2 linked regions of the Caenorhabditis elegans genome follow. The protein of the gene in region 1 purifies or fractionates together with the protein of each later gene. This does not show direct contact. Each region holds a gene or a part of one and is shown in the gene's direction. Other genes may lie near its edges. The genes, in order: ccr-4 and ceh-99.

The links.
Region 2: the proteins of ccr-4 (region 1) and ceh-99 fractionate together in Caenorhabditis elegans (co-fractionation; one large-scale study listed by BioGRID). This does not show direct contact.

What each region holds. Positions count from the first base shown.
Region 1 is NC_003282.8:12,362,716-12,380,256, forward strand, and holds ccr-4 (poly(A)-specific ribonuclease), read left to right. Parts: upstream 1-2,558; 5' UTR 2,559-2,829; coding exon 2,830-3,625; intron 3,626-5,679; coding exon 5,680-5,748; intron 5,749-6,068; coding exon 6,069-6,533; intron 6,534-6,582; coding exon 6,583-7,110; intron 7,111-7,735; coding exon 7,736-7,911; 3' UTR 7,912-9,137; downstream 9,138-17,541. Other genes in the region: wdr-46 (WD repeat-containing protein 46), read left to right, coding at 9,540-9,920, 9,968-10,233, 10,500-11,283, 11,653-11,964; Protein atz-1, read right to left, coding at 12,130-12,562, 12,914-12,991, 13,043-13,338; thn-1 (Pathogenesis-related protein 5-like), read left to right, coding at 17,389-17,541.
Region 2 is NC_003280.10:12,512,208-12,528,422, forward strand, and holds ceh-99 (Homeobox domain-containing protein), read left to right. Parts: upstream 1-7,773; 5' UTR 7,774-8,004; coding exon 8,005-8,166; intron 8,167-10,283; coding exon 10,284-10,631; intron 10,632-10,677; coding exon 10,678-10,773; intron 10,774-10,816; coding exon 10,817-10,954; intron 10,955-10,998; coding exon 10,999-11,154; intron 11,155-11,200; coding exon 11,201-11,299; intron 11,300-11,352; coding exon 11,353-11,433; intron 11,434-11,729; coding exon 11,730-11,822; intron 11,823-11,870; coding exon 11,871-11,939; intron 11,940-11,987; coding exon 11,988-12,215; 3' UTR 12,216-12,271; downstream 12,272-16,215. Other genes in the region: srh-73 (Serpentine Receptor, class H), read left to right, coding at 1-328, 374-564, 621-1,109; srh-69 (Serpentine Receptor, class H), read right to left, coding at 1,425-1,877, 1,931-2,121, 2,166-2,508; srh-61 (Serpentine Receptor, class H), read right to left, coding at 2,778-3,251, 3,623-3,813, 3,864-4,206; srh-70 (Serpentine Receptor, class H), read right to left, coding at 4,546-5,001, 5,055-5,245, 5,294-5,651; srx-118 (7TM GPCR serpentine receptor class x (Srx) domain-containing protein), read left to right, coding at 13,621-13,704, 13,755-13,915, 13,965-14,130, 14,180-14,237, 14,555-14,718, 15,260-15,459, 15,508-15,661; srx-119 (7TM GPCR serpentine receptor class x (Srx) domain-containing protein), read left to right, coding at 16,040-16,138, 16,191-16,215.

The sequences.
Region 1 (17,541 bases):
CTTTGATGGTGGGTAAAAATTAAAAAAAAAAGAGCCATTTTTTGCTAAAATCTAAAATTTCGTCGCCCTGTCCTTGTCGCAGCAGCAGGAATCTAGTTTTTCTCCCCTTTTATTGCATATTTTCTTATAGTGTGTTAATTCGATTAAGCACATTTAAAGTCGATAGGCATTCAATTATCGATTTGAAATGTGCCAAAATCTACGAATTAACGCGATATACGCGACGAAAATATGCAATAAAAGGTTGTTTTGGGTCAGTTTTAGTATTTTTAATCTAAAAAAATTCATTGGAGAATGTTTTAAATAAAATATTTTAATTTCAGTGATGTAATGTCATCAGGAGATATGACATCGGAGTACAAGGACAAACAAGGCGGAGGAGCTGGCCAGCCACTCACAAAGTCTGAAAACAACGATGGAAAAAAGACGTTAACCAATGGAATGAGTCGAGTACATCGAGTGTTAACTGAAGACGAAATTGCCAGTGGGAGATCAACACGGTGGACAGAACTTGAAATACACGGTAATCATTTTTGAAAATTGTTTCAATTTTTATTCGAGATATTTCCAGGTCGTGTGAAGAATCTATCACCGTCACTGTGGCAGTTGACACATCTTTCAGCTCTTTTTCTTAACAACAATGGACTGACACGGTTACCACCGGAGATTGCTCAGGTATCCGATTAGTGTGGAAATTATCTCCGGCGGTGGCACTTATTTTCATCGATTCTACAAAATGATCTAAACTTTGATGCTCCAACATTTTTCATTCAAAATTAGTGTCAAAAGATAGAAAATCATTCAGTTTATCTGAAAATAATATTTATTTCACCTGAAACATTTATGAAAATGCTCAAGAATTACCTGAAAGTGGCAAATTACCGGAAAAAAATTCGATGAATCGATACGACCATTTTGATTAATTTCCTGAATGTTCCAGCAGAAATTTTTTTTTTCAGAAAAAAATTTTTTTTTTTAAATATTTTGACACTAATTTCAAATAAAAATTGTTGGAGAACATGGGGCAGTAGGACATTTTGTAGAATTGCAAAAAAAAAGATTACCAAAAAACAAATCAGCATAATAAATATTATATTCTTTTATTCTTCATCTAAAATCTTCTTGAAAAATCCAATTTCATACCAAAAACCCATTTTTCAGTTGACAAATCTGACAATGCTCGACATATCGAACAACAAGCTCCGCTCACTTCCCACAGAACTTGGTGATATGATCAGTCTTTGTCATCTGTACCTGAACAATAATCAACTCCGTGTGCTGCCCTATGAGCTGGGAAAGCTTTTCCGGATTCAGACGCTCGGTCTGCAAGGAAATCCTTTGTCGCCGGAAATCAGCAAGATCTATCACGAGACCAACGGTGCGCAAAAGATATTGCAATTTCTACTCGATCACCTGACTAGTAAGTTTACTTTTTTACTTTTTGCTGTCAAAAAATAAGCGTTCGGTCTAGTGTTTGGAGCATAAAAACAAGATGCATCGTTCATCAAAGATTCCCGACGTCGACCTAGAATATATGATTTGAATTGACGTGCTTTTCCCTCCTGAATGTCTGACACATCTCAACTTTCACTTGTATCCCCCGAATGACGTAATAGTAGATAATTCTGCATTTCTTATAGTTTATTCACAATTCCCTCACTTGATTAGACAGAGAGGATGTTCGTTATCACTATTATCCGTGTTAGTTTGATTTCCCATGCCACAAACTACTTTCTCTTTCGGGGCATGTTTCTTCTTTCAAGTTGTGAAAGTGGTCATGAAAAAAGCATTGCCATACCAATACTTGAAGGGTGTTCGTGTTCATAATCGTAATCGAATCAGTAGAAAAAGTAACAGTGTAAACCGAGAAAATGGTGTTGAAAAATAATGCAGACAAGTTTTTAACTGGTTTCGTATATTTAAAAAATAGGTTCACAATATCATATAGTACGAAAACCAGTAGGAAACAAAATTGTAATAGGCTCGTAATAATTTATTATGCAGTACTATATGATTTTTGTGACACTACCAACGAAATGGCTCATATTTCCAAGAGAAAAAAGTGTTACCTGAAAATTAGAAGAACGAAACTAATTTTCATTAAAATGAAATAACTTACTCTAATAGTAAGTAATTCATTTTTTCATTCCGAAGAACACTTATCTCTTAAAACCTCCACGCAAATCTCGACATATCATGTTTAATGTGCCGGTGTGTCCAGCCATTCATCCAGTGTACATGAAAACGTTCTAAAAAAGAAGCGGCACACGAGTGTGAGAGATAAACCATAGAGACGCAGCAATGGTGGCGCAGTGACCACCACCGCCATACGTATACACGGTTTTTAGTTCGACGCTCGTCTGCGACTCATCGTCTCTAGCACTATTTAGCTCTTCGCTTATGATCATCTGTTCTTCTTACGTCCCCCGAGTCCTCCTCATATTCGCCTCGTTTTTTTCTACACGGCTTCTTCTTTCTCTGCCGTTCGTCGTTGCGAGGAAGGATCGAACAGTCTCCGCCCATTTCGGAAAAGTGTCTTCCCTCGTTGTATACGCCCTCCCCTTCGTGTGTTTGTGTCTCTGCAGCAGCCGGCGGCAGAAGCACATTGCATGAGTTTTAAACGGGAACAAGGCTCCGCCCTGACTAGCTTCCCATTTTGAGAGTATTCCCCCATTCTGCCTTTCACCAACGTCCTTTTCTTTTTACATCATATATTCCACCTGCTTTCCCTTTTCTTACTCCATTTCTCTTTTTTCATCCTTTAAACGTGCACCAACTCTGGCCATCCAAACTTACTATTCGAAAATGTACTGAAGTTCCCTCTGAAATATGGCCGACAGTGGAGACGGCGAATCGCCATCGAGAAGAAACTCCAGTGGAAAAAGATTTGTGAGACGAGCCAGAAGATGGGCTGAGCTGCTACAAAAACGACAAGGACGTCGAAATTGTGAGGAGAGCGAAAATCTATCAGCTCCGATAGATGCAAATTTTCAACAAGCTCATAAACATACAGCATTCAATAATCCATCGTCGCATAATCGAAATGGAATCAAGGATCAGAAGTATAGACCACCAGAGCCACCGCATGTTTATGATTATGTTGAAATGGCTGCTTTAGGAAGTGGTGTGATGGTTGTAGATGATGATCTTAATTATGAATTTCTGACACATGATGAATCCCGTCAAAAACAACATTTGGGACACACTCGAAGCTTCCCAATTACTATACTTCAATCAAGAAAACATGAGATTTCATCTGGATTATCACCAGCTTACGGATACAATACTCATCAAACTTGCCAACGAACCATATCGGATGCATACCATTATCAGGCTTATCATCAACCATCATATTCCAATCACCACACTTCTTGGTACGAGTATCAACAACCGTCAAATGCATCATTTATGAAACCGGTAGACAGTGCTCTCACACTGATAACCAATGATCTCTCTATGGCAAGTATCTCGGAAGCATCTACAACATCGCCGAGTTCGATCTCGAATAATTCTGAAGAAGATGTTTCACCACACTTTTTGAAAATGTCTTCTTCATTTCCAAAATCTTCAAGCTTCCCCTATCGAACAATGTCTGAGTCCCAATGTTTTCCATTCAATTTTCATGGTAAGTACGTGTTCATTCCCAAAGTTCAATAGGATTCAGCTAGTGAAAGTTGTATTCACTTGAGACAAATTTTACTACTATCTCACCACAATATTCATAAAGCTTAATCTTCTCTTCCTTCTGTTTCTTTTCTCCGATAGTTTTTTTCCAGATTGCTATCGTAAACATGTTCTGTTTTCACTTATCTATAGACAGTTCACTTAGATTGGCGGTTTTTTAGCTTTGACAAGCGTGACTGAAATAAAATTGTTACGAGCAATTGTGATTATAAAATATTCAGGTTGAATCTTGAGTTTGTTGGATTCCTAATTAAATTGTAAAATTTTAATCTCGAAATTTCCATCTATTCGATCTCTCTCCATATGTCTTCTACCTGAATCTCAGCTTCAGCTTCATCTTTTTCGCCGTTATCTCTGCGCATCTTTGGCATTGAAAAGTACGATCGGTCGATGGTGATTACGCCATATTTTGACGTAAGAGTGAGAGAGAAAGAGAAGCGGACGACAAAGAAGATATGGGGCGAACGTGTACGTTTATTTGTAGCATAATGGCAGGAAAAGGATGGCAATGGCAACGGTGTGTGTGTGTATGAGTGTGGACATCACGGCTTGACGGTAGTGATGGTGTGTGTATGTCTTAAGCGTTAACAAGTTTTTGTCGCCATTTTCGGACGGTGTCACATCCTTCCACATCTTCAGTGTGAATATGGTTGGCAGTTTAGAGACATTGGAAAGTCGGATTGTTTTGGTATCACTGATTGCGCGAGGACTGGCAGGAAGTGATATTAGAATGGATAAGCATTGACCAGGTGATTTGTGAGACACTGGAAGCTGTTTTCTGAGATAATTAGGAAAAATCTGATAGAAATGTTTGCAATGTTTCTTGATTTTCTCCGAAACAATAATCTAATAAATCGCAGTTTTTCTAATTACGGAGCACAGACATGTTCGAAGCATCGAAACAATGCACAAAAACGTGTTATTTACAAATGATCCTTTCACTCTCTCTTGAAGTGTGTTCTTCTCCCCCTTCGGATCACCAGCTCACCACCATCTATCCCAACAGGCAAAGAGAACACACCGTGTTTTGACGACGGTGAGAAGAGTGTTTTGGGTTGCCCTCCGGTGCACGATATGTTTACACACGGTTTCGAGCCGTCCGAGTCGATGGATGGATGAGGCCACCGGGTGGTGACGGCGCGTAGAACAAATTGGTCGTTTGAACATGGCGCTTGTGTCTGGGAATTTTTGTATGGAAAGATCAAATATAGAGCCTCTAATTTTCCACTTTGCAAAAACCTGAATATGAACAAAAAGAAACTAGTGAGGGATTTCAAATTACTGTAAAAAGTCAACTCCTCTTTTGATTATCCATATCCTCAGTTCATTTTGGATTTCCGTCGGTTTAGAAAACTGAAAATGAGAATAGAAAAAGATGAATAGGGAGAGTGCACTTGACACATTTCAATATTGGCGGCCTCTTCATCTTCAGTCCCGTTGATCGAACAATAAATTAAAATGGCACAGATGGTTATGCTGGTAATAAGTGTTTGAAAGAATTGAATAAGGGAAATCAGATAAAGAAGTTTTGAGTTCATAGTTTAGAGAAGCATTATTCATCCAAGTTTCAAGTTTCATAGAACCAATAAAAAATCACAATATGGCCGATATAATACTAGTGACCGCCCTTTTCACTTCTCCCGTATGTATCTTCGATGAATCCGCTCAACTAGTCATATTGTTTTTTTTTTGTCGCTTTCTGTGAGCGGTCATGAATAATTGCGAGTCGTTCATCGTCTTCTTCTTCTTTTTTTATATTCTTTCTCTTTTTCTACGCTTCGTTCTTTGTCACGAACGTTTACATAAAGAGACAGGGGGACGACGACATCTCTGAACGTATAATATTTGCCTCAAAAAGGAAATCGAGTGGGATTGAACACAGTAAAGCCCTAGGATGTCTAGTTAGGCCATCATAAAACGAAACGGAAATTGCCGGGGAAAATGTGAATATATTTTTGATGAAAAGGGAACTCTGTACAAACTATGAAATTTCAGTTAACACTCATCCTCCACCGGAACGAAACTGGGTAATGATCCGACATGCAGATCCGGAACGACCAATTGGTGAGTGAAAAAATATCAGAAGCATTGTTGAGCAGAAATTTCTTTGGAATTCATTTAAAAAAAAGCAGAGCAATATTTTTACTTTCTGAAAATAACCTTACTTTGAAATGAAATTCTGTAAAGTTGCTCAAAAACTGATTTATATTTGAGTCGGTTTTTGAGAAATTTGTAAAAAATTTAGAGCGATAGAGAAGTTATTATTCGAAAGTACGAATATTTCTATATAATTTTCCAAAAAGAAAAATGTGCCTCACATCTCTGATGCTGAATTTTCATTCAATTTATAATTTTTGTAGTACAATTAAATATTTAATTTTCAGCCACATTCACCGTTCTCTGCTACAATGTGCTGTGTGACAAGTACGCTACGGTCAATCAATATTCGTACTGTCCTTCCTGGGCTCTCAACTGGGAATACCGAAAAGGGCTCATCATAAAAGAGATCCGAACCTACGAAGCAGATGTGATCACGCTGCAAGAAGTTGAAACGGAACAATTCCGAACACTTTTCCAACCTGAACTCAAGCAACTTGGTTATGCTGGCATCTTTGAAGCCAAATCGCGTGCCAAGACAATGGGAGAAGAGGAACGAAAGTATGTGGATGGATGTGCAATCTTTTGGAAAGTTGACAAGTTTGATATGGACAAGCAATATCTGTTTGAATTTTCAAGTGTGGCGATGAAGAAGGCGTCTACGAGTGAGAATATGCTCAATCGTGTCATGCCAAGAGATAATATTGGATTGTGCGCTGTGCTGAAGATCAAGGAAAGCGTTTACGCTAACAGTGAGTTTTTTTTCTAAATTAAAAAAAAAACATTTGTTTTTTTTTGCAGAATTCCTGGGACGGATGCAAATTCCAATGAATGACAACGTGGTCGGAAATCCTCTTGTCGTCGCGACCGCTCATATTCATTGGGATCCTGAATTCTGTGATGTCAAATTGGTACAATCAATGATGCTTACTCATGAAGTATCAAGAGTACTCGAAGAAGTATCAAAGAAATATCAGATCACGCAACAACAAGTTCCAGTTCTCATATGTGGTGATTTCAATTCCCTTCCGGATTCTGGTGTCTTTGAATATCTTTCCAAAGGACAAATAACACGTCGTCATATGGATTTGAAGTCGTTCCGTGATGATTCTTGTCTTGAAAAGTTCACCAACTCGACGGACAAGAATGTGATCAGTCATCCCTTGAGGCTTGACTCGGCTTGTGACATTAATTCGATACCATTCACAAACTACACATTAGATTTCAAAGGAATGATTGATTACATTTTCGCAACACCACAGTCACTCGCGAGACTTGGAATACTTGGACCATTTGACCCACAGTGGGTTCAGTCGAATAAGATTCTTGGTGAGAAAATATACTTTTTTAAAAATAGTTCTCGATTTTTTGCTTGTTTAGATAAACTTAAAAACCGCCCAAATTAACGAATTTTGCAATGAGTCTTCTTTAAAAAAAAGTTTCTACGACGGTTCAAATTTTCTTTTAAAAAATGAGCTGATTTTTGCTAAAATCTCCAATTTTACTATTTTTTTATGTCACAGTGCTCCGTAATTAACTTTTATTTGATGATCATCCTTTATTGCATAGTTTAGTCGTTTGTCTCAAATTAGCGAAAACTACAGTAATTCTATAAATGACTACTGTATGTCTCGTGTCGATTTACGCTAATCATTTATTAATCTATAAAATATAAAAAGAAAACACAAAAATGGAAAAAAAAAACTAAAAATTAGAGGACAATTTAACATCGAAATTATTTTCCGACCGCTGCGACTCGAAAAAGTATCCAACATTGGAGTTTTAGCTAAAATTTGCCTTTTTCAAATATTGAAATCGACATAAAAATTGTTTAAACATTTTTTGAAAACTTTAATTTTGAAATTCGTTTATTCATGCGCATTCTGAGTATAATAATGCAAACAAATTTATCGGAAGTTCTCTTTTAAAAGTTTTCTAATTTCCTGTTTTCCAGGATTCCCTCATCCACATGTAGCATCTGATCATATTCCAATTATGGCTCAATATGCAATCATACCAACAACACATCAACGACAGCAACCACTTCAACAGGCTGGTCCTGCAGCTGGTGTAATTGGAGGAGGATTTCCATCAACACCTTCAGGAGCCCAACCATTCCTGAGGTGCTGACCCCATCATCATCTGCAATGTTCTTCAATTCGTGTACAACTGGCTCTCCCTCTCTTCCCTCACCATTCTGTCTCATACCTCAATTTGTGTGCTCTTGTATCTGCCCCACTCTCTCCCTCTCTTCATATAAAAAACTTACGTAGAGTCCTTCGTAATTACGATTGATAACTCGTTTGAATTGTGATATATTTGAATTATGTTCCATCGCCGCGCATTTTCATACTTTTCTTTTGTTCCTACGAGTTCTCCCTCTTCCCTCGATCCGACCCTTTTATTTCCCTCACTTCATTTCTTATCTGTTAGTTTTTCTTTTTCTCCTTTTGATCAGTTTTATTGAGTATATTTTGGTAGCCCCTGGGGTGTTCGATTCTTTTTATTCCACTCAAAACATTTTCATATTTTTTCCGTTTTTTCGATTGTCTTCGATTTCTTCATGGAAGAGTCTATTTTTCCATTCTATTCCATTTAGTCCCCCTCTCGTCTCTTTTTCTTCTCTTTGTAGTAGATCCCCTCTGTTTCGTGACTCGTATACTGAGGGTTTCACGGCGAAATGGTCTCGCAACGATCGGTTACGGTGTAGGTGTGCAGTGTGAGAGGAGGGAGAGAGTGTACGAGAACGTGAGGCGCAGATTACTTTCAGTTTGAAAAAAATAATGAAATCTCGTTATTTGTGCAATTCGATCTAGCTTTTTGCTCCCGACACGCTTCTTTTCATTCATGAAATGTGTTCGAAAAGAAATGTCGGAAGCGATCAGATCGAACATGCAAGATTACTGAGATTGAATTTTTTGTATCGAATTTTTAAAAAAACTCGATGAGTTTTCCAGAAGCCGGAGGTATACGAGATGCGCGCGATGCTCGCTGGTCGAGTTTCTCTACCTGACCTCTCCTCTCGTTGTGTGCTATTTCACCGTCTATATTCCAATAACTACCTACAATAATACCTTATTTCCGTTTCTGGTCCTATGTATAGTTAAAGACTTACTTTTTGGCATTCTTCACCCTCTGCTTCCTTCTCTCTCTCTCACAAACTCTCCCACACTCTCGTCCAAGTTGCGTGTTTCTGCTTTGAATTCTTTGTTATCGGTCTCGGATATAACGTTTCTCCTATTGTATTCATCATCTTAATTTTTAAAACTATTAGTTAAACAAAAATAAGAACAATATTTCAAAAATCAACTTTCCCCTTTTGTCTCATCGAATGAAACATTTTTTTCGTCATGTAACTTGTTCTTTTTACATTGAAAAATGGAGCACAAAATTATATACAGGAATTTGCAGTGTGAGTTTGCAGTGGTTTGCAATGGATTTGCAGTGAGAACAGGAATTTGCAGAAAGAAACATTTTTTAAGAAAATTTCCACTCTGAGACTCCTGACAGGAAAAAAAATTTAGATTAAAGAAAACTAGAATTTGAACTACCGCAAAAATTAGGGATACGGTAGACAAAAGTGTGCAAACACGCCAGCAGGTTTTTGCGGACGCGGCATTTTAGATGACGACAACCGTTTTAGATGAAGATTTCTCGTTTTGTTTCTTGCATTCGCTGTTGCCTATTTAAAACATATATTTTCTAATAGTTTTATATTACTTTTTGTAGAAATAATTAAAGTTAATTATTTTACAGTAATGCCGCCAATCAAAAGATCCAAGCCAGATGGTGGAGTCAAGAAAATCTCGATCACGGCTACCGATGTCACACCTGCAAAGGGTGTGGAGGAGAAAATGAGCTGGAAAGAGTATAAAAAGATGAAGCAGCATACTGGCGGTGGAACACGAAATAAGTTAAAGAAGAAGCAGAGGCCTCCAACTGAGAATACAGAAGGAAGAGCTAAAAAGCCAAAAGTGTTAACAAAAGAGCAGCTTGAACGACATGATACAGGAGCAGACCAAATTGATCCATCTTCGATGCGTTCAAAGCTTCAACAGGAAAAAATGAAAGTGACGAAGGACAAGTTTCAGAGAAGAATTGAAGCTACCGCTAAAGCCGAGAAACGTCTTGTTGAAAATGTGAGTTGTTCCATTGCTACTCAAATATTCACAAAATATAATTTCAGACCGGATTCGTAGCCCCCGACGAGGAGGATCACTCGCTGACCTACAGCATCCGACAGAAAGATATCGCTGAATCAGTTGATTTGGCTGCAGCCACAAAACATTTCGAGTTGAAATTGCCACGATTCGGACCATATCACATTGATTATACGGATAATGGAAGGCATTTAGTGATTGGAGGACGAAAAGGACATTTGGCAGCACTTGATTGGCAAACCAAGCATCTTCATTTTGAGCAAAGTGTGATGGAGAAGGTTTCCGATGTGAAGTAGGTTATGGCGTCCAAATTTCTAAAACTGTTTTACGCTGAGACCTCTTTTTTTCGCTGATTGAAGTGCTTTTTTGTGCCTATAAGTCACACAATACCACCGAATTTGGGCAAAATGCACCTCAATCAACTTAATAAAAGCGTATTTTGTTAAAAGGAAATTTTCAAGATGATTTTGTAAAAAATTCGGTAGCTTTAGAACATATGGATGCTAATTACACGTTTAATTACATTTGTTAAACATTAATAACAACGATTAATTTCAGATTTCTTCATACGGAAAACTTCATCGCAGTCGCCCAAAAAAACTATACTTATGTATACGACAACTTGGGTACAGAACTTCATTGCCTGAAAACCATGTACGACACAGCTCGCCTCGAATTTCTTCCCCATCATTTTCTGCTCGTCGGCTCTTCGCGAAATTCGTTCCTTAACTACGTGGATGTGTCTGTTGGAAAACAAGTTGCCTCGTTTGCAACGAAATCTGGAACTCTTGATGTGATGTGTCAGAATCCGGCAAATGCCATTATTCACACTGGACACACAAATGGAACCGTGTCCTTGTGGTCTCCCAACTCAAAAGAACCACTTGTCAAGATTTTGACTCATTTGAGCGCAGTCAAAGGAATTGCTGTTGATGATCAGGGAAATTATATGGCGACCACGGGTCTCGACAGGAAATGTCGTATTTGGGATGTTCGAATGTTCCGTCAACTTCATGCATATTCACTACCATTTGGAGTGTCGAACGTGGCAATTTCTCAAAAAATGAACGTTGCCTGTGCAGTTGGAAACCATGTACAAGTGTTCCGTGGAATGCATAATGGGACGTGTAAAGAGCCGTATTTGGTGCACAATTGTGGAGGTGTGGTCACTGATTTACGATTTGTTCCATGGGAAGATGTGCTCGGAATTGGACACGCAGGCGGATTCACGAGTATGTTGGTGCCAGGGGCAGGAGATCCGAACGTTGATACGCTCAGATCTAATCCGTACGAAACGAAATCACAGAGAAAGGAAAGAGAAATCAAACAATTGTTGGATAAGGTATGGAATTTATTTTATTCGATTTTGATATTTGAAGTCTGGATGTCAAAAACTCTATTTTTTATGATTTTATCATGAAAATCGAAAGCACCTCACCAATAAAAAAGAAACCTTTAAAAAATTTTCTCCAAAAAAATCTTGATTTCTCTATATTTCATGAAAACTTTAGTTACAAAATTATGTTCAATCTCGAAAAAAATGAGATTTTTTTTGAAAATTTATTTCAGACTACTTGGTTCTAAATTTCACAAAAGTTTTCCACGGAAAATTCGGAGTTTTCTTATACTACAGCAATTTAGAAGACCCTTCTTTGGCAAGCGAAAAAAATTTTTGCAAAAATTGTAATGCTAACTAAATTCTAATTTTCAGATTCAACCGGAGCTCATCAGTCTTAACCCAGACGACATTAACAAGGTCAATGAGGGACTTCTCGAGTTGGAAGAGGAAGAACGAAAGAAGATTCTCTACATTCGTCCGATGGCTGTTCAATATACGCCACGTCACAAGATGCGCAGCAAGAAGAGTGGTTGGAAGATGGAGGCTCGTAAGAATATTGTCAAGGATCAGATTCGAATGGAACGGAATATGGAGAAACATGCGGTGGAGAAGGAAGTTTTTGAAGCACCGGAAGTGGATGACGAGGCTCCGAAAAAGAAACACATTCTGGATCGTCTCAAATAGAAGGATAATCAATTTTATTTTTTGTTGTTGTTGATTTTGCGTTATTTTCGTTTTGTTTTTACTGAATTTTTGAAATTATTTCTTTAAAAGATTTGACATTTGGAAATTTATGAAACGAAGGAAAAAACAAACAGTAAAATAAAAAAGTAGAAACTAGTATGTATTTTATTCGTAATCTTCCTCTTCTCCCTCCTCATCATACTCTTCCTCATCCTCAAAGTCTTCTTCAACCTCGTAGTTCTCCTCCTCTTCATAATCTTCTTCCCCTTCCTCTTCTTTCATAAGATCGTCATTCTTCTTCTGAAGATCCGCAATGATCTTCTTCTGGGCTTCCAACTGCCCCGTCGTCTCGATCATCATCGCCTGGATCTTCAACGTGAGCGCCTCTTCGAATCGATGCTTGTCCTCCAGCTCTTCAAGCCGTTTCATATAGACTTCAGTGAGCTTGTTCGCATCGTCGACCTGTTTCGTGAGGCTCTCGATGGCCATCGTCTTTTTCTTGGATTCTCTAGCAGCACTGTCCAATGCATTAATCGTCAATCTCAAAACACCCTCTGGTGGAATACCAGTTTTCGCTGCTGGCATCAAATTTTTGATTCTGAAAAGTGTTACTTTTTGCATTTGTGCTTGTTATTATGGGGACGCAAAAAATGGTTTTTTGAAATCATCAAGGCACAAGCGCGCTCCAATGATGGGTCTCATTAGGTATTGGCAGGAAACTCGTAAATTCAAACGTTTTTGTTGTTATTATCGATTTTAATGTCGAAATGGTCTTTAAAGATGCATTTGAATAAGGGTTTCTCGTGTATTTTACATGATTTGTTTCGACATAGAAATAGTGGAAAAACTCTTGAAAAAATTTGAATTTCTGATTTTGCCTTCGCCAATACCTAACGAGACCCAACTTTAGAGGCGTTGCGTTTTAACTTGGGTAGGCTCCGAAACTCACCGTTTTTCATTCTCAGGATCTGTGCTCTCACCAAGGTTAGCCACAAGTAATTCGATTCTCAAGAATGTCTGATATGACCTGAAAAAATAATTCGATAAATTTTAGGAACTCAAATTCTTAAAAACTCACTCATCAATTTTCGCATCCCTTTTCTGCTGTGCTTCCCTCAAAAGTTTCTCCAATCGACCAATTTCCTCATTTGCTACTTGTTTTCCTTCTTTCGTCTCCTTTTCAAGATCCGAAATTCTTTCCGTGGCAACTCTCAATTTCTCACTCAAACATTCCACATATTCGACATTCGAATCAGTCTTCTTCGCATCGAAAAGCTCTTTTCGTTGCTCCAAAAACTTTTCAGTGAGCACTTTGAATTGCAAGTTCTTCGCGGCAAGCTCGGTTTGCACATTGCGGAGTTCGATCGAAGCCATTATTTGAATATTACAGACAGAAAAAGGGTGACAACCAGTCGATAGGGACCTGTGCGAGTGAAATGAGACAAGAAGAGGAGCACTGCTAATAGATGGTATCTACCGTAGCAGTTGACCTTTCCAAGAGGTAGACACGTCATCATTGTCTGACATACTATGTTTGCTCTCTCTCTCTCTCTCTATATGGTCTCGAAGGGAAGGAGATTAGGTCATAGGAGACGTTTATTGGAATGAAACACTTCATTAAAAAGGGTAATTAGTGAACTAGATGAGCTAAATGCATATTCAAATTTGTAAAAGGCCACCTAAAATGTTATGCATTGTCAAGAGAAATGGCAGTACTACCTAAACTGTGGCTGTGAAAATTATCTGGATTAATTTTTTGAAACCTAAAGAACGGTCATTGATAGTCAGAACTTTAGTTAATATATTTTTCTTGCATTTTTACATTTTTTGGGTAAAAAAAGGTGTCATGTTCAAAGTTTCCATTAGTTTTCAATATCTGAAGCTCTTTTTACCAAACGTTGAATCAAAAATAGGTGACAGACATTATTCCAATTTCAATTACCAACTTGTATTCTAGGCATTTTCTTTCTGCTACAAACTTTCTGCAACACTTTTTTTTGTGAATATTAACCAAAAAGTTGGCATGACAGACGCCGAATTAAATAGTTGATTGGTCAGATAACTGTATCTTTTTTCTCATGTTATCAGTGAAGCAAGAATCAAAAACTTTCAATAAACCGAAAATAGTTCATTCGAAAAAAAAATTATCTAGAAATTTCAGTTAAGTTTTTGGTAAAAAATTCAAAAATTCAACAAAATTGAACGGTATACGACGAAGGTTTCAAGCACACGAACATTGTTGAGTTGTCAAATGGATAAGTGTATGCACCTGGACATGCATTCTTGAACATCTTCGTTGTAGAGCTCATTGTGCATTTATCTGGAGAATCATACTCCCCACGGCAGCATTCCTTATCAGTTCCATATCCAAGACATCCAGATTTACACCCAACAGTGTAACCTGAACTACTCTTCACTGCAAGTTCTGTAGGGCATGCAGCATTTACATCAGAGATGCATCCACCGGCTCTTTGACATCCCAACCCATCAATTAACATTGGGAGATTGTAACCATCGATTAGATTAACTGCATAAAAGTCTCTTCCAGCCCAAGATTTCAAATTGAATTCTGCGACAGATGCGGGTGGAGTTCCTGTCCTTCCATTGCATTGTTCTGCGTTCTGGAAAAAGTGTAAAACTCTCAAACCTTTTTCATTTTTTTTCAAGACTTCGGGTATTCCCAATTTCGGATGTTTTGAAACTTATTCAGTATATGCGTGTGAATTCTGCGAAACGTTTGAAACTTCCTGTCAACATTTACTGTTGAGAAGCTTGCCCAAAGTTTGGCAGAAAGTAGCAAAAATTTGGCAAAAAGATTATATAGTTTCGACGACCGTAAAACGTGCCCAGAGTTTGACAGAAAAAAGACCAAAAATTTGCCCGAAAATGAAAATGTATTTTGGTAATAGATTTTGGAATATTCATCAAAAAAAAAATGATGTACGTCCTTGACAATTCACGACTTTCAGATATTCTAGAACATCTAAAGTACTTTTTCGTATTTCCCTTTTACACAATTTTTTGGCTGAACTTAAAAAATTGTTCAAAATGTTTTGATCAAATATCCCCAAGTGTTTATTTGTTTCAAAACTTCCATAGAAACTTATACTTTCAAAATGATACACTGTTAAAGTATAGATCTATAGACTTCAAAAAAGTTACATTCAAACTACGGAAAACTCACCAAACAAGTTCCAGTCTCACAATTGAAATCTCCATCACATCCAGTCCGTGCCCAAATCTTTCCATTTCTCCAATCATCATCCACATTTAAATACTTTGCCGCCCACGCATCTATTATTATAGACTACGATTGTCCGGCTGTTCACAGTGAGGAGCAGAGATATAAGTAGAATCCAGATGGAAATCATCTGAAATTTTAAATAATTGCTGATCGATTATGTTTATAAAAATTGTTTGCAAAAATATTCGTAAAAGACTACTGTAGTCAACTTCCCGTAATGTAAAGTGTCTTCCTTACATACTTTCCTTTCCGATAACAAAAGTTTGTCCAATTTTGAACCAACTGTAGCATTGTTCCTTAAATACTCCTCTAGCTGATCTAAAGACCAATCGAGTTCGCACCGCCCGTTTATTTTCAATTGAACATTTCCTGCAGAAACTCCACTGCTTTCTGTACCCATCGCATTTTTCTCAATTCATGGAGTTGATTCCATTTCTGATTACCTTCTGATTGGGACAAATTCGTTATCAGTGAACAGTTCAAAATGAAAGTAAATACGAAATGAGAAGATTATAAAGATTTTTAAAAAGAATTCACCGGAAATGGGCAGAAGAAAACCACGTGGATCGATCAAACGGAAGGTTTCCAACAACTGTTTGTTGGAACATTTTGGATCTAGAGGTCAGATACACTACTGCTACCGCAAAACTCTAATTTGATGACCCAATCTTAGGCGTTTCCTATTTTTAGGTTAACCAATGATTTATGTTTGCAAATAATTTTCCTAACAAATTTTTTTCGGTGCCATGAAATTTCCGTTTAAAAAATTTTATGGATTCCTTTACTCATTTAAACTTCCATACATGTGTAAAAAATTAAAAATATATTATGCAATCGTTTGAAATAGGAAACGGTCAGATTTTGACTTTTGTATGGCAGGTATTCTCCAGAAATTACATTTGCAGTCAATTGATACCGCTCTTCCACATGTTGAATGAAATATGTGATTCCATCTTTGTTCGGAGTTTGTGTTCATTCAGAGATCGCTTTTCCTCGCTTTCGATATGTATGTAGATGTGACTAAAAAAACTTAAATTCAGAATTTCAGAAGTATTCGCTCCCGGAATTCAAACTTTAACATAAATTGAACTCAAACTTGCTCTCTCAAAACATAAAACATTTTTGGTATCAAATTGTGGCTCTAGAACTTTTTAACACTTCTTTCCAGGCGCTTGTTATCTATCACGAGAAGCAATACTGAAACCACAAATCAATTTTATTGATAACAAAACGAGAGTCGTCCAATTTTTGTATGTTCTAGGAAAAGTGCATCTGAAAATAATAGTCTATGGAATTGTAATTTGCTAAGATTAGAACAGCACTCGAATCTGACCCTGGCTAAACCTAAAGTATTAAATACAAAATGTTCATATGGAAATATTGAATCAGAGTTCAAAATTGGATTGTTATTAGAGCTGTGTGGGTTTGTTTACAGTCCTTCAAAAGTTCACATGTCGACATAAATGTCAAATAAAATAAAGCTGCGGAAGCATGACTGGTTGGCGAAAACAAGTGGCAAATATGGTTTTTAAAATTTTCCAGTAAGGCAACAGTTCCATGGAGGTTTCAGGAAGTGACAGGAAGGGGATAAGTCTCGATCGGGTAGGAGATCTATTTTACATACTTCAACTGATATTTAGAAGGCTAACCTTTTTACATGTTTGGAAATCGAAAATTGCAGTTTGTTGCTGATCGTTTGTTTCCCCAAGAATATCACAATTTTGAAAGTTGGGGTACTGTATTTCCAGGTTCTTTTCAAACATTTTAAAGACAACCAATTTATAAACTTCAATCTAGAAAAATATAGTGCAAGACTTACGAGATGAACACTGTCTCAATGTTATTTTACAAGTACGGATTCCTTTCAAAAACAAATGAGCAAGAGATCCAATTCCTCAGCTTATACACAAATATTACTCAAGGGCCAAACAAGTTTGCTGACTCACTTCATCTTCTTTTGACTTCCTATCAATCACCCCCAGTCTCCACCTTTCATTTCCTAAACCTTACGGCCCAAAAAACAGAAAATTGAAGAATCAGAAATTATCGCGCGATGGGCGGAGCTTTTGTGCTATAAAAGAGCCTGTGAGCCAAAGAAATTAAACAGTTCAGTTGAACATTCAAGTTTTCTGCTTCTTATCATAGCTCCTCAAAAATATTCAATTTTTCAGTTCTCAGTAATGGCGCTCATCAAGCTTACTCTCGCTGTACTTCTTCTGGCTCTCGGAGCCGAAGCCCGCAAAATCACTATCTACAACAAGTGCCCATTCACCATCTGGCCAGGAATTCTCGGCCCCGGAAATCCATCTGGAGGTGGTTTCAAGCTCAATGCT
Region 2 (16,215 bases), on another chromosome or scaffold:
TACAACACAAATTGCTCACTTGATGATAGATTTCTAGTTTCCAAGTCAGGCTTGGCTCTAACGTGCAACATTATTGGGCTAGTAGCTCTGCCAATTCAGATATTCACTGGTTATTGTATTCTGAGAAAAACGCCGAAAACCATGAAGCCTGTGATGGGTAGTTTAGGGAATTTGAATTTCTGGTACACGATATCCCAGATCTTGTTCTCATTTTTCATAATTCCCTATTCATTTTCCCCGTATATGGCTTCATTTTCCGCTGGATTTTGTTCCGATCTAGGCGTTCCAACAGCGATTCAGTTGTTCACAATGTTCACGATAAGTTCTGGTGAGTTAGTTATTTATATAAATTGAAAATTTTGAAACCTTCCAGTTGTACAAGTATCTATAATTATGCTATTCAAAAATCGGAGTAATTTTATCAAGGGCAACAAGTTTCAATTATCACGAAATTTCTATAAAACTATATGGATATCCGTAAACTTTTTCGGGAGAATTTTCCCCTTAACCCCTATTTATTTCAATCTTCCAGAGCAGACAGCGGCAAAAATGCACATTTTGAAGGTGGTGGTACCGTGAAGTGTCGGCCGCTTCTAAAAGTACAACCTTTTTTATTCCAGACTCTCCCATGCCCGACCAAAGAATTCTTCTTGGAACCAGTGCTCGTCTTCGCTTCCGGTGGCTTCTGGGAAACCTATCAAACCAGAGCTCGCAGTATAATTAATGCATTGACAACATTTCAAATTCTATTCTTCTCTGCAACATGTATTTATTACCTCTTCATATCCAAATCATCCCATGTTTCGGCTCAAACTCGGCGGCTCCAAATCCGCTCGTTTTTCATCTTAATTATTCAAGTTTTCATACCGATAATGTTCATCATGATCCCTGTGATGATTACGTTGAATAGATCAAAACGTAACGTGCATGATCAGATGAATAATAGTATCATGACAATTTCCTTCGTTAGTCATAGTGGAGTGGCGAGTCTTGCGATATTGTTAGTGCATGCTCCTTATCGGAAATTTCTGATGTCAATGTTCAGAAAAGAGCAAAAAGTTCAAATTAGTCATGCTTCTAGTAATTTTTCATTGGTTGTGAGGGTTTGAAAATATTTCAATAAAAATATTTCGGAGCAGCCGACATTTTACGAGTAATTCATGTCTTATAGCGGCCGGTAGTTTGCGGGCCGAAATGTTTTGGAGCGGCCGACGCATTACGGTCTGTTGAAATGGAAGAGTTTCCAAAACTAGGCCACTTTGGCTCGGCCACATCTGGGGTAGATTTACGGCGCGTTGCGTGTCGCGTCGCGGCTCGGTTCTTGTTGTAAAACTAAATGTGAGCGCGAAAAATTCAATGAGGAAGGCCAGAACCCCGTGTATTATTTATATATCGAAGTCTCCATTAATAGTGAGTTTAACACTTTATAAAAAACTAGCATTTCGAACTTCACTAATAAAAAACGATTTCAAAAATGTTCTATAAGGCTGATGTACAATAAGAATTACAAAATTTGCAGCTCCATTATGGGCCACATAAAAAATCATGACAATATTATTCTTCGTCTGATTGTACTCTGGTCCTTTGGTTAGAAATATAGTAAACGGAATTAAGACCAACAGGATTGGAACAAAAGTTTGAATGATAATTCCGATGAAAAATCGAATTTGTAGTCGCCGAGTTTGATTTGACATTGAGATTTTTCCGCTTTTCACGAATAGGTAATATATACAGCAGGAGGAGAAAAATAGTACTTGTAAGCCGGTGGCTAACAATATCAGCTTGAACGATGATGTTAAGTAGGTGTCCCAAAATGTGCCGGGGGTGAACACAACACTTGGTTCCAGAAAGTATTTTTTGGTAGGGCAGGGTATTGTCTGAAAAATTTTTTTGTTGTTATAAACAACAAACTACAAAGTGAAACACTCACTTTCAATAAATGAAGTATAGCTTTTCCTTGCTCCGGAAGATTAAGAAATACTGGAGTGAAAACTGCGAAGTTGCCAAGAATGTTCAGGAAAATCCAAATAACTCGATACAGATTTATTGAGAAACGGAACTTATTTTCCAATATCATACTGCTTCGATTTTCGAATAATAGGATAATTGAAATTAACATGGCTGAAAACTGATTCAAAATTTAAGTGTTTATAACCAGTACTTACCGGAGTTGATCGCGAAAACTATATAGAATTGCACTGAAGTTGGAACATGAAGATCTGTTCCAAATCCTGCTGAGATGCTAGCACTATGTGGATAAAAGTTGAATGGGGTGAAGAAAAATGAAAGAGTAATCTGAGAAGTTGTACACCAAAACCACAAATTGATCAAACTATTTTTCACATTACTCATTTCTTTTGGGGTCTTAAAGAGAATACAGTAGCCTGTTAGCACATGAATTGGTAGAGAAACCACTCCAATTGTACGGCAGACCTGAGCCAAGCCTTCTTTTGATGCTAAAAATCGACTTTCTGGGGAACAAATTGAAGGGTATGCTGACAAATTCATCGTTCGGCTAAAATAACCACAGATCAAATAACATAGCTCAGGAAATAAAGAATTTGATATGCGGGAAAAATGGGCTAAAGGATAATGAGATGAGATAATGAGAGAGAGAGAGATGCACATTATAAACGCATTAGACGCTCAGGACAAGTGACGTTGTTTTTCTTGCTGGGTTTCATTCTTTAATTTTTTTTAACTACAAAAAGTTTAGTAATAAAATATTAGAGCGTAATAAAAATTAAAAATTAAATAAGAATGAAATAGATAATTGTTTATTTCATAAATTCCCTTGAAACAAAAACAATATAATTTTGCCTCTCCCGAACAATAAGTGATTTCAGGAATTTTCGATATGGAGCATGTGCAAGTAGAATTGACAAACTAGCAACTCCGTTATGCATCAGGAAAAGTATCACCATCTGATTATTTTGCACCTGACTGTACCCTTGTTTCTCTTTTGTCATCGTTGCGGTAATTGGTATAATCACAAATAATAGCGGAATAAGGGTTTGTATTGTGATTGCCCAGAATGAACGAAGCTGGAATTTTCGTGTCGTTGAAGAAATTTGTGTGGTTGTAGAAAAGACCAAGTAGTATATACAACATGCGGAGAAAAATGTCATCTCAAATATGGCGATAGAGAACATGAAAACGTAAGAAAAAATAATGTAGGTTTCCGAAAAACCGTCAAATGCTAATATTAATGTTGATGGTTCGAAGAAGTCTTCGGCTGGACAGGGAAGGGTCTGAAAAAACATTTTGCTGATATACGGGATTGGGTTCATGGGTGACAAAAAAAGTTCAAATTTTAATTCGCAGCTGGCATGTTGCGGGCCACATAAAATGCAGCCGACACTTCACGAGATTTTTTTTATTACTAAACCAGCAGCTGACCGCGCCACCTGCGCGGCCAACGGCTGGCGAATTTCAAACTATTAGACATGCATATGTCATTTACCATACACCGGCCCCAGCCTCTTAAGTTCAAAACTGATATTTCCCAAAACTACAAAAACGGACGGAACTCTACTTTATATATAGTAAATGATGTGTAACTGTAAATGTAAATGCACTGTAACCGACTATTTTTTTTAAAGGAAAAAACTTGTACACTCACCTTCAAAACCTCAATTTTCACCTCAAACTGATCCTGAAGATTGAATAATTGAAACGTTGGAAAACTCAAAATACCAATTACATTTACACAAATAAATACAACTCTAGAGGGAACTTTGTCAATTTTCAATCTATTTAGTATAATAGAACTGCTACGATTCTCAAATAACATGATAAGGAAAAAGAGATTTCCTGCAAATTTTAGAAATATTTGAACATTACCGAACCCTTGAATAAAATACCTGCGTTTCCAATCAAAATTATATAAAATTGAATAACAACGGGAATGCCAATTTGGGTGCCCAACCCAATAAAGGATAATGCCTTATAGGGAAAATAAACGTAAGGAACTTCGATGAAAGAAAAAATAATTTGGGAAACTATGAACCAAAAAATTAAATTTGTAAGGCTTTGCTTCACAGAGCTCATCGTCCCCGGTGTTTTCTTCAGAATACAGTAGATTGTCGAAATTTGAATTGGCAGGGATATCAAACCGATTAGAGCGCATGTAAAATTCATACCATTTTCGGATACAAGAAATGGATTTTCCACTACACAAATGGGTTTGAGCAGCTCAATGGACATTGTCGAAATAAAAAGTGAGCTCAAGAATTCTATACGAAAATTGAATTTTTGATTTTAATAAAGGCGTCCCGTCTCACTGTTCTGACCATGAGTAAGCTAATTATTTTTCAACTAGACACCAAATTTTACGCTTGACGAGGTTTTTTTGATCATGGAAACCAGATTTGAATAGTATGACGTCTTACGACTTGATGAATCGGAATGTCATTAACGGATAACGATAAATTCACTGACAAAATTGTGGTTTGGTTTAACGCTATGCTCACTAAAACAGTGAAAATATGCCCAATAAAAGTAACTTATGTGTGCTTGTGTTTGTATAAATAATCCTCTTTATTGTTAGATTTGACTGAACGCAATTTTCGTTTCTTTCATAAAACATGACAATATAAATGTTCTATAAGGCTGATGTACCAAAATAATAGACATGCTTGCAATAGCACTGTAAGACACAAATGATATTCCGGTAATATTATTCTTTATCTGGTCGTACGCTTCATGCTTCTGCTGGCTCAGAAATATTGTCAATGGGATCACAACCAATAAAATCGGGATAAAAGTTTGAATGATAAGTCCAATGAAGGAACGAATTTGATACTGCCGAGTTTGAAGTGATATTGTGGTTTTTGAAATGCATAGGTAGTATATGCAACACGATGAGAAAAATATAACTTGAAGTCCAGACACCAGGCGGGTGATTTTGAAGGAGTTTGCGATGAAGGTCTCCCAATATGGGTCGATGGTGAATACGGTGGTCGAGGTTGCGAAGAATTCTTTGGTGGGACAGGGGAATGTCTGGAATACGTTTATTATTTGTCTACTGTATGTTGATAAAAATTAATGCCCACCTTTAAGATATCTAACTTCGCTTTGTTTTGCTCGGGAATAATAAATGTCATAGGGGCTAAGCAGGCTATGCCCACTAAAAAGTTGCTCGCAATCCAACACACTTGACTTCGAGTTTTTGAAATCCGAAACTTGTTTTTAAATATCAAACTGCTTCGATTCTCGAATAAAATCACGACTGCCATCATGTTTGCTGTAAATTTTACGATTCTATGGCAGTTTTCTCTCACTTTCAGCTGACCAGCATCAATGGCAAAAATTATATACAGTTGAATAATGGTTGGAATATTCAAGTCCGTACCAAATCCTGCGGAGAAGCCAGCCATATACGGTAAATAGTAGAAGGGGGTGAAGAAAAAAGAGACCATTATTTGAGAAAGTGAGCACCAAAACCACAAATTGATCAGACTATTCCTCACCGGTCTCATTTCTTCGGGGGTCTTGAAAAGAATACAGTAACCTGTTAGAAAGTGAATTGGCAGGGAGATGACTCCAATAGAACGGCATGTATTTGTATATCCAGCTTTGGTTGCGAAATATCGATTTTCCATAGGGCAAATTATTGGATAAATAGTTGTAAAGTAGAATGTTAAATTCATTATATTCACAAAAATATTTTTCAGAAGCTATCTGAAGCTTTTTCATGAAATGAACGTTGTTTAATGAATGCAAAAAAAAGCGCTAACAAGCATATCTCTTATTTTTCATTGGAATTCGAAATGAGCAGCATGATTGAGCTAATTAGAGATAGACAAGATAATGTTCTAGGCTCTTCAAAATTGACTGCATAGTCAGTTCCGTGAAGAAAACCCGAAATCTGCAAGTCTCCACTTCCCTTCAAACCTGTACTTATTCCTATAAACTGTGAGCACAAAATATCACAAGGTGCTTTCCAACTTGTTATCACTAGTTTTATGAGTGATAGTACATTTCTGTAAAAGGCTTTTCGAAAGAAAGAGAATCAATTGCCTGTCAATTTGAAATTTAAAACATTGACATTCAAGTTTGCCGGTTTCTCGGTTTTTTTCTTCAAAATGAAAGTGTTTGAGAAAATGGTCAAAGCTGCCAACTGAGGAAAAAAAACGAGCAAGAAATATTGGAATATTGGGAAGTAAACGGAATTTAAGGAAATTGAGCAAACGGGCAAATCGGGTGAATTGGATGAAATGGCAAGTTTGGGAAAGTTGGACAAACATAAGAATTGAGAAAACTGATATATAGTGCAAATCGGGCAAGTCCGGCAAAATGGACAAAGTGGGCAAACTGAAGAGCAAGCATGTAAACTAAATAAGGTAAATGGGCAAATTAAACAAGCCAGGAAAAACAGGCTCACAGGTGAGCTGGAAAATTGATTTAACAGTGAACGCTGTAAAACTAGACGATTCGGAAAATTTGAACTCTGTAAAAAATTGCAATACTGCCGAAAAAATCTATGAAATGCAACGATTATTAAATTAAATTAAACAAAATGTCCCAAAGTTTCGGGAAAAAAGACATAAACGGCGGCAAAGGGGCCAATTTTACAGCTTTGGGAAATTGATGACAAAACTAGCTAGGACAATGATTTTTATGTGCACAATGAGCCCAATCTACATTTTCTCCCGATACCCTCAGATTTTCAATGTTTCCAGAAACTTCTTATATTCGTTCATCTAGCCCAAAATCCTTATCACTGCTACAAAAACTATTCCATTCAAAAAACGGCTGTCAGTGCTAGGCACATGCCCCTTTCTTTCTCGTACACGTCAATCAGTGCCACGTAGTCTCGACGCAGAAATCTGTCAAAATCGACCTATAAAACTGGGAGCGATGGCGCTGAGATGCTGATACTGATAAGCGAAGGGGTTTCTTTGTGGCGTTTGGTAGGAACACACAAAGAGCCCCGGAGGACAAAGAGCTCTTATCAGTGGATGCTCCGCGCCGCTCCCATTGTTCGTTTCGCTTTCAGTTCACTTATTCTGAAATTAATTTTTTTGCTGCCTATCTATATTCTGGTAAGTTTTTTTTTGCATCTGCCAAACCGCCCGTTTGGATGGTTGTGCTCTGAGGAAATACGCACAGAATGTCATTTCATCAGGCCATAGCTGTCCAAATTGGTATAGAGTTTGGAATGTTGAATCAGTTATTGGAGTTAGACAAAGGTAGAGTTTTTCATCATTTTAAAATGATATGCATACCTGACGTTCAAAAAATTGTTTGAAGCTTTTAAATTTAGCGGAAAAGTGTACACAAGAAGTTGATCCAAAAGGTCATTCCAGTCCGATTTTTGTGGACTTTTCTAGAAAATTGTGTAAAAAATACGCACAGTAATATTTTATGAAACAGTAACTAACGATAGTTAGCGTTACATGGGTTTTTGACATTGTCAAAAACTTTCGTCCAATTTCTGACAATCCTCACCACTCTTTTCACGTTGGAATTTTGATTCAAATATCTAACCTTTTACTCAAAAAAAATTGTTTTTGAATATATTAATTTTGACCTCCTAGATCACCTTTTATATATACCTCATCTTTTTTGAATTTGACCTCTTCCCGCCGTGTACACCTGGATGCAATGATGGCCGTCCGGCAATATGAAAAAGAGTGTGAAAATTGAGGAGAGTGGCAGACAAATACAACGCCAGTTTACACCGACAATATTACCGGTACAGAGAGTGTAGATAGTTAGAGAGTGACAGACATCCAGGATCCAATGGGGCGGGGCGCGCGGAAGAGACGATTTGTGTCGATTTACGAAATTTTCCTCGTTGTCATCATTTCGTAAATCGAGACAAATCGTCGTCTCTTCCGCGCGCCCCGCCCCATTGGGTCCCGGATGTCTGTCACTCTCTAACTATCAACACTCTCTGTACCGGTAATATCGACGCAGCATTTTTTTTTATTTTGTGGTATATTATTCCAAATTGTCAAAGGTAAATTATACGCCTTTATTTTTTTGTCAAATACTAGAATGGCACCTTCTTACTCGAGGAATACAAAAAATTCAAAGAAGACGGCACCGATATCTGCTGAGGAAAAACACAAGATTCTTGAAGAAGAATTTGCAAAAAGTCCGTATCGAGGACAAAGGAATTTGGAGTTGTGTGCAATGTTCAATATGACTAGGAGAAGGGTGAGTTTTTTTCCTAGAAATTTGAGAAACTTTTGTCTTATTTTTCATTGATTTTCTAATAGTAATTTTTCTAATAGTAATGTCTAAAATTAGGCCACAAATAGAACTTCTTATCTTTTTAACCGAATTTTTTGAAACGTTCTAATAATAATTTCTCTAAGAGTCGCTCAACTTCGGGCAACTTTTGTTAAACTTCTGATTTTTGAAATTTTTTAAAGTTGACAAAACCACGCGGTGTCAAGCTGTCCCATCACGGTTTGATCTACAAAAAATGCGGGAATTTTTTGCCCAATAAAATGTAACGTCAGCACGTTCTTAACCATGCAAAATCAGTTGAGAACTCTGCGTCTCTTCTCCCGAATTTTTTGTAGATCTACAGTGCTGGCCAAAAAGATATCCACTTTTGGTTTTTTGTGTGTAACTTTTTTCTCAAGCATCCATTTGACTTGAATTTTTCCGTGTGCATAAAGCGAAATGTTACGCAAATTTGCGGACCAAACATTACATGATTATCGATTTTTTCTGAATTTTATTTCAATTTTTTGATTTTTTCGTTTTTCCAATTTTCATTATTTTTTTTGAATTATCAATAAAACGCACTCTGTTTGTTGCACTGGATTTGTTTGGTTGATAAATTATTTTTAAGGTATGGTAAAATCTGTTGGGTGTAAAAATCTTTCCTTGGACGTCAAGAAAGCCATTGTAGCTGGCTTCGAACAAGGAATACCCACGAAAATGCTCGCGCTGCAAATTCAACGTTCTCCGTCGACTATTTGGAAAGTAATCAAGAAGTACCAAACTGAGGTGAGTTCGAAAAATATTATTTTTTAATAATAAATGTTTAGAAATCCGTCGCTTTGAGAATCTCGCCCGGCAGGCCTCGAGTGACAACCCATAGGATGGATCGCAACATCCTCCGATCAGCAAGAGAAGATCCGCATAGGACCGCCACGGATATTCAAATGATTATAAGTTCTCCAAATGAACCTGTACCAAGTAAACGAACTGTTCGTCGACGTTTACAGCAAGCAGGACTACACGGACGAAAGCCAGTCAAGAAACCGTTCATCAGTAAGAAAAATCGCATGGCTCGAGTTGCGTGGGCAAAAGCGCATCTTCGTTGGGGACGTCAGGAATGGGCTAAACACATCTGGTCTGACGAAAGCAAGTTCAATTTGTTCGGGAGTGATGGAAATTCCTGGGTACGTCGTCCTGTTGGCTCTAGGTACTCTCCAAAGTATCAATGCCCAACCGTTAAGCATGGAGGTGGGAGCGTCATGGTGTGGGGGTGCTTCACCAGCACTTCCATGGGCCCACTAAGGAGAATCCAAAGCATTATGGATCGTTTTCAATACGAAAACATCTTGGAAACTACAATGCGACCCTGGGCACTTCAAAATGTGGGCCGTGGCTTCGTGTTTCAGCAGGATAACGATCCTAAGCATACTTCTCTTCATGTGCGTTCCTGGTTTCAACGTCGTCGTGTGCATTTGCTCGATTGGCCAAGTCAGTCTCCGGACTTGAATCCAATAGAGCATTTGTGGGAAGAGTTGGAAAGACGTCTTGGAGGTATTCGGGCTTCAAATGCAGATGCCAAATTCAACCAGTTGGAAAACGCTTGGAAAGCTATCCCCATGTCAGTTATTCACAAGCTGATCGACTCGATGCCACGTCGTTGTCAAGCTGTTATTGATGCAAACGGATACGCGACAAAGTATTAAGCATAATTATGTTGTTTTTAAATCCAATTGCTCATATTCCGGTACTTTAATTGTCATTTCCTTGCAACCTCGGTTTTTTCAATATTTCTAGTTTTTCGATTTTTTTGAATTTTTCTGAAGTTTTTTCAAAATCTGTTGAACATTTTTGATGAATATTGTGTTTTTAGATTTTGTGAACACTGTGGTGAAGTTTCAAAACAAAATAACCACTTAGAAAAAAGTTACACACAAAAAACCAAAAGTGGATATCTTTTTGGCCAGCACTGTACGTAGATCAAGACGAAATGAGACACTCTGACACCACGTGAAAAATCAAAAAATTTGAAATATTTGCATATTATTAAAATTAGTTTTTTTTTCTAAATTCTATTTATTTTCCCCCATGCTCTTTTCCAGCTCGATGCCTGGTTCTACAATAGAAGAATTAACGCAGGAATCGCGACAGGAACCCCAGGTCTATCACATTCCACAGAAGTTCTCAAGATTCTCGAAAATGCGTTCAAAACTCACCAATATGTAACTCGAGAGCTCACAAAGGAACTGACGGAAAAGGCAGGGCTCAATGAGAAGCAAATTTGGTTTTGGTACAGAAAACGACGAGCAAAAGCTGAAGCTGCTCATAAAACAGGCGCCGAGTTGCCATTCCAGATGAAGTTACTTGAAATAGCATATGCAGAGGATCCAGGGTTCACAAAGGAAACACTTAATAGATTGAAAGAGGAAGGAGGGTTAGAAAGTAAGGATGTAAGTTTAGTTCCATGAAATCCCCGTATATTTTCAAATTTTACAGATCTCGGCCTACTTCTCCGCACAAAACGAACGAGCAAAGTTTTCGAAACATAAGGATGCGGAGAAAAATGAGCAGGAGTACTTAGCGCAGAAAAAGGTCTATACATGACTGTTTTAAGTAAAAAGTTAAGAATTTTCAGATAAAAGATAGGGAAAAGTTTGAGAGACATTCTGAAAGCGCTGTTAAACTTTTCAAGGAGACATTCTCGAAATTTCAATTTCCCAACGATAGCCTGATAGCTGAACTCATAGAAAAAACGCAAATAGAAGGAGTAAAGGTTTTTTATAATTTAGCGGTAACGTTAAAAAACGTTTTTTTCAGATTCGCAGATGGTTCACACGAGCTAGAGAAACAGCCATGAAGGCCTATAAAAATAATGGTACCCCGCTGCCGCTTGGAATGAAGGAACGACAGAAGGAGATGGAAACAATTGGAAATGCGACAAAGAGGATAAGGACTTCTGCAGGAGCTGATGCCGTAAGTCTTTGCTCAATCGTTATACCTATGAACATGACGGTTTAAGGATCTTTCAACAACATCTTCTCGAAGCAAGAAAGACAAGAAAAGTAAACAAACTGAGCAGCGGGAGCCAAATGAAGAGCCACGATCTCCGAGTATTGAGGTTTTTTGAGCTCTGAGGTGGAGTTTCAAATAAATTAAGACTTTTGTTTTCAGAACAATCAGCCACACTGTTCAACTTCCGATCCATCAGCCGAGAGCAATTTAAACAGCCATTGTAATAAGGGAGCTCGCGATGTGAGTTTTCTGAGGCTTCCATGGGAGTAGGCGTAGTTTCCGGGACCTGGTGCTCACCTGAAACCTGTCTGAAACCAAGTAGTGGGTGAAGGAGACTACAATCCAGGGGTGCGCGGCAATTGGAAATTTCCGGCAATTTTGGCAATTGACGGTTTTCAAAATTTCCGCCAGTCAGCAATTTCGACAAACGCCAAAAATTCCGATATTGCCGAAAAATCGGTTGCCGCGCACCCCTGCTACAAGCGTCCCACAACCTAGATATGGGCTTAATGGATTAAACTTTTGACATTTTCCAGGCTAAACTCAGAAAACGACACAGAGCGTTGCCAGAGTCTTCAATTCTCAGTGAACCAGCTGTAAGGGTAATGGCTAGTGTGGAGGAAGTAAAAGTAAGTTAGCAGGTTCATAAGACGCAAAAGTGCAAATATGTATTTCAGCAAGAACCTATCGATGGTTCTCTCCAAGATCCTGGAAACCGAGGAGACAGGGATTGGAGGTCTTGGACGGTAAGTTTTTAAGGCAAAAGTTCCATCCCCGAAACCTAGAAATTTCAGCACTCCCAAGTCATGGAATGGATGGACCAAATAATTCCCCGCTCGGCGCAGACTTCCTTTCGAGAAGAGCAGATTGAAGGCTCGTCGATGGCCGATTTTCTCAATCAGACTATCGGAGGGCTTTGCAGAATTCGAGCTCGGAATCCGCGTCTCACAACGGAACATTTCAAGGCGCTGGGGGAGCAGATGAAGTTGCTGGAGCCGAACTTTAGAAATGTGGCATTGTGATCATTATTTATTCTTTACAATTTACAAATTAGAATGAAACTTTAACGAAATTGAAATATCGGGCTCTTTTCGATTTTTTTCAAAATTCATACTTATAGCTTCATGAAAAATTCTCGTAGCTGGGCTTCTGAGATTTATGATTTTTGATGGTTCTGAAATTATTATTTTGTTTTGGTAAAATTGCTCCGTGAGCTCAATTTTTGTGTTTATTTCAGGCGATTCAAGCTTAGAAACCGGCAAAGCCTTTGTCGTAGAATTCTCACTTTTTTTAAATTTTGACGCTGCTCTTTTCTATAAAATATGCAAAATTCAAATTTTTACAAAAACCTAAACTCCAAATTTGATTTTATTTACCAAAAATCAAAACTATCACCACAAATCCAATAAAAACACAGAAAATCACAGTAACGAGGAGAAGAGCGATTATCGTACGAGCATCTATTTCCGATGGTGGTTCAGCATCTTTTGCAGATTCCGGCAGGCTCACCATTATTGGGCTTGACATGATCGGGCTTGACATGAATAGAAAATTGCATGAAAATTCAAGGTTCCTGATGAGTTTTTATATCATTTTGATTTTTTCGAATTTCTATAGAATCAGGAGAAGCGTCTTGTGACTTTAATTGAACAATTGAAAATGTTTTTTTGGAGGGGGTGATTCAGAATTTTTTCAATTTGTTGTTTCCTAAAACGTTTCAAATATCAGGAAGTCAAGCTTGATGTTTTAACTATAACAATTGGGAATTTTAAGAAAAAAAGAGGCGAGAAGTGGGCGGAAAACGATTTTTTCTGGCAAACCGACAAATCGGCAAATTGCCGGAATTGAAATGTCCTGCAAATCGGCAAACCGGCAAAATACCAATTTGCCGAATTTGCCGAAAGTTTTTTGCAAATTGAAAACGGGAAAAAATTCAAAAAATCACAGTTTTAAGTTTTTCCGTCTTATAAAAATATCCCTCTAAACGCTTCCGGCAAATTGATATCCGGAAACGGCAAATCGGCAATTTCCCGAAAATTGCCGAAATTGAAAATGTCCGGCAAATTGGCAAACCGACAAATTGCCGAAAATTAAATTTTTCGGCACATCGGCAAACCGGCAATGTTCCGATTTGCCGAACGGCAATTGCCGCCTACCCATAGCTTGCCCATTTATTTGACAAAAAAAAAGTGAACTGTAGAACTTTGCAGCGCCCGACATTTCCCGGTTTCCGCAATGTAAAACATTTTGTTCCTACATACATGAGTGAGTAAGCGATTTGGACACCTTTTTTTTTGAGCGTTGATTGAATTGGTTTTTTTTTGGCAGAATATTAATATAAATTCAGTGACACCTAAGATTACGCATAGGGGGGGGGGGGGCGCTAATTGCAATTTTTACTCACTGGACACTGCAACTACCTTGAAAATGAGTTCTGTTTTGGACGAGTTTTTATATTCGGAATTTTCAACTCCAAGTACCCGAACTGTATCGGCTGTTATGCTAATTGTGGTGAAGCTCTAGAGTTAGAAAAAAACGAAATAAATGCTTCCAAATTCCAGGTCAGTATAATTGGCTCTATAATGAACGTGCTAATTTTCATCGCAACCTTTTTCCGGGTTACAAAACGAGATGGGTTTCTGAAAATTTGCTGCTTCAATAGTTTTGGCAGCTGTATAGTTTGCATTGGGTATTTGGCTTTTCCGGTTCCAAGTCTTTTACTGTAAGTTCATCAAAGCTTCATATGATCCTTAATACACAAAATTTTGCAGTGAAGACCCTCCAAATCACTGGCTAAATGCGGCGATGGGCCAATTTATAGCGTGGTTCGGGTGGAGTATAGGCCCGCTGTCTCAAATTTTGCTAACCGTCAATCGAATCATAGCCGTCTATTTTCCATTGTTATACATGAAAAAGTATCGGTATAACCCTACAAATGTGAGTTTTTTAGTTGAAGGGAATTAACAGGGTGAACTTGAAATTTTAGGTCGGTATTGGATTTTCTTTTTTTGTTGCTTTCATCCTTCTGGTTTCATTTTTTCCAGGTAAGAGTTTAAGACTTATTGCTCACCATTTCAAAAATTCTAGTAAACCGGAAACAGGAGACGGTACTTGTGTATTACATGCCCTCATTTTAATGGTTATTTTTTTAAGTTTTGGAAAATAAAAACGTGAACCACACTTTCGTATTTTTAGGCTTAGGAAATAACATTTTGTAAGCCTGAAGAGGAAAAATGTATATCACGTTTAATTTAATTGGAGGAATTAATGAAAATATAATTTAATTTAAAAATGAGGGCATGTAATACACAAGTACCCAGGAGACCACAAACCATAAAAGCCTAAATTTCTAAATTTCCAGAAGGCTGCCACTACCTTTTCAATCGTGACTATCTCGGTTGGGTCGGCGAGTTCACTCCGTGCATTGATATTATGCAAAAGACGTTTTTGGTCGTTATGATGACGATTTGCGCCTTAACGACGTGTTGCAGTGTTTTGCTTTTCATCAAGTTGATCATACATTCCGTGAGCTTTTGGTTCCGCGTTTTGGGGGCTAGTTTTGGCAGCAAAAATCTTTTCGAATCTTTTGGTTCTATGTTTTTTAGCGAATGTAGTTTGTAGTCTAGAGTTTGTAGTTTGTAGTTTTTACCTTGTAGTTTGTAGTTCTTCCTTTGTAGTTTGTAGCTTATAACTTATAGTTTCCAGTTCAAAATTCAAGTAGTGTTCAAGTGGTAATGTGATGTTGACACCAGCGAAATTCAATTTTTGATTTTTCCAAAAAAAATTTGCAATATTCGGGATTGTGCTAGAAATTTCTAGACACTTGTAAAAAATTCTAGAAAATTTTTGAATTATTTGGAGAGTTCTGGAAACTTTTGAACAATTCTCGAAACTTCTGAAATCCTCTGGAAAATTCGAGAAATTTTTTTCTCTAATTTACAATTATTGAGAAATAAAATGCTTTAGTTTGTAACTTTTAGTTTATAGTTTGTAGTTTGGAGTTTGTAGTTTGTATTTTCTAGTTTGTAGTTCAGAGCCCCCTTCTTCTTTCATTTCCCATTTTCAGCCCAATTTCCGCGTTTCAAATGCTCAACTTGCAAATCGCCATAGAAAAAATCGGAAACTAATAATTCAAGCAATTGTTCAAAGCATCCTTATTATAGTTGACTCACTGAACTCTACAATAACCTATAACCTATTTCCAAATTTATTTTTTCAATTCATAACTCTATCATTTTCAATGGTGTTTTTGAGAACTCTGGAGGGGTAGGTGAAGCTGAAAGCTTTCCAATTTTAAGACGTTGTTGTTTTCAGGTTCGTAGTATTTTCCATCAATGAAACGATCAATGAAGAAGTGAAGAAAATGCTCCGAATGAAGAGTTCTGCAAGTAATGTGTTCATCGTGCCGAAGAGATCGATGTCCACTGGCCAGCGAAATTATGCTCGGCAATCGCAGTCAATTCCATAGAATTTGTCAAAAAAAAAAAACACTTTTTTGTTTTGTTTTGTTTTGTTTTCCAGTACCGAATAATATTTTGATTCATTAATAAATTCTCACAGTTGATGTAGGTTCGCAGAATTCAATTAAAATTGTGGATGGTGATGTCAAAATTTCGGATTTATAAAATCACTAGGAACAAAAAAATTTTGGCGGCTACAATTTTGCAAAAAACCTCATTCCGCTTGAGTTACTTTAAAGAACACTTCCTTCTTCATAATTTGCGATAAAAGCGTGATATAGAGCCATTTCACGCATGCTCATCACGCATTTTGTACCTTTTTTTTAAAGTTCTTAGAAATGTTATAAACGTTTACTTCTGGGCTGTAGTAGTTCTTCAATTCCAGAATGTCATCTTCAAACAGTTCCTCCTTTTTGGACGATTTTCTACATTCTCAATATTCTACCCCCAACACCCGCACTGTTTCGGCAATAATGCTCATTTTAGTGAGACGCTTCAGAATTTTAAGTCAGAATTAAAAAAAAAATCAATTTCTAGGTTAGCACAATTGGATCCGCCATAA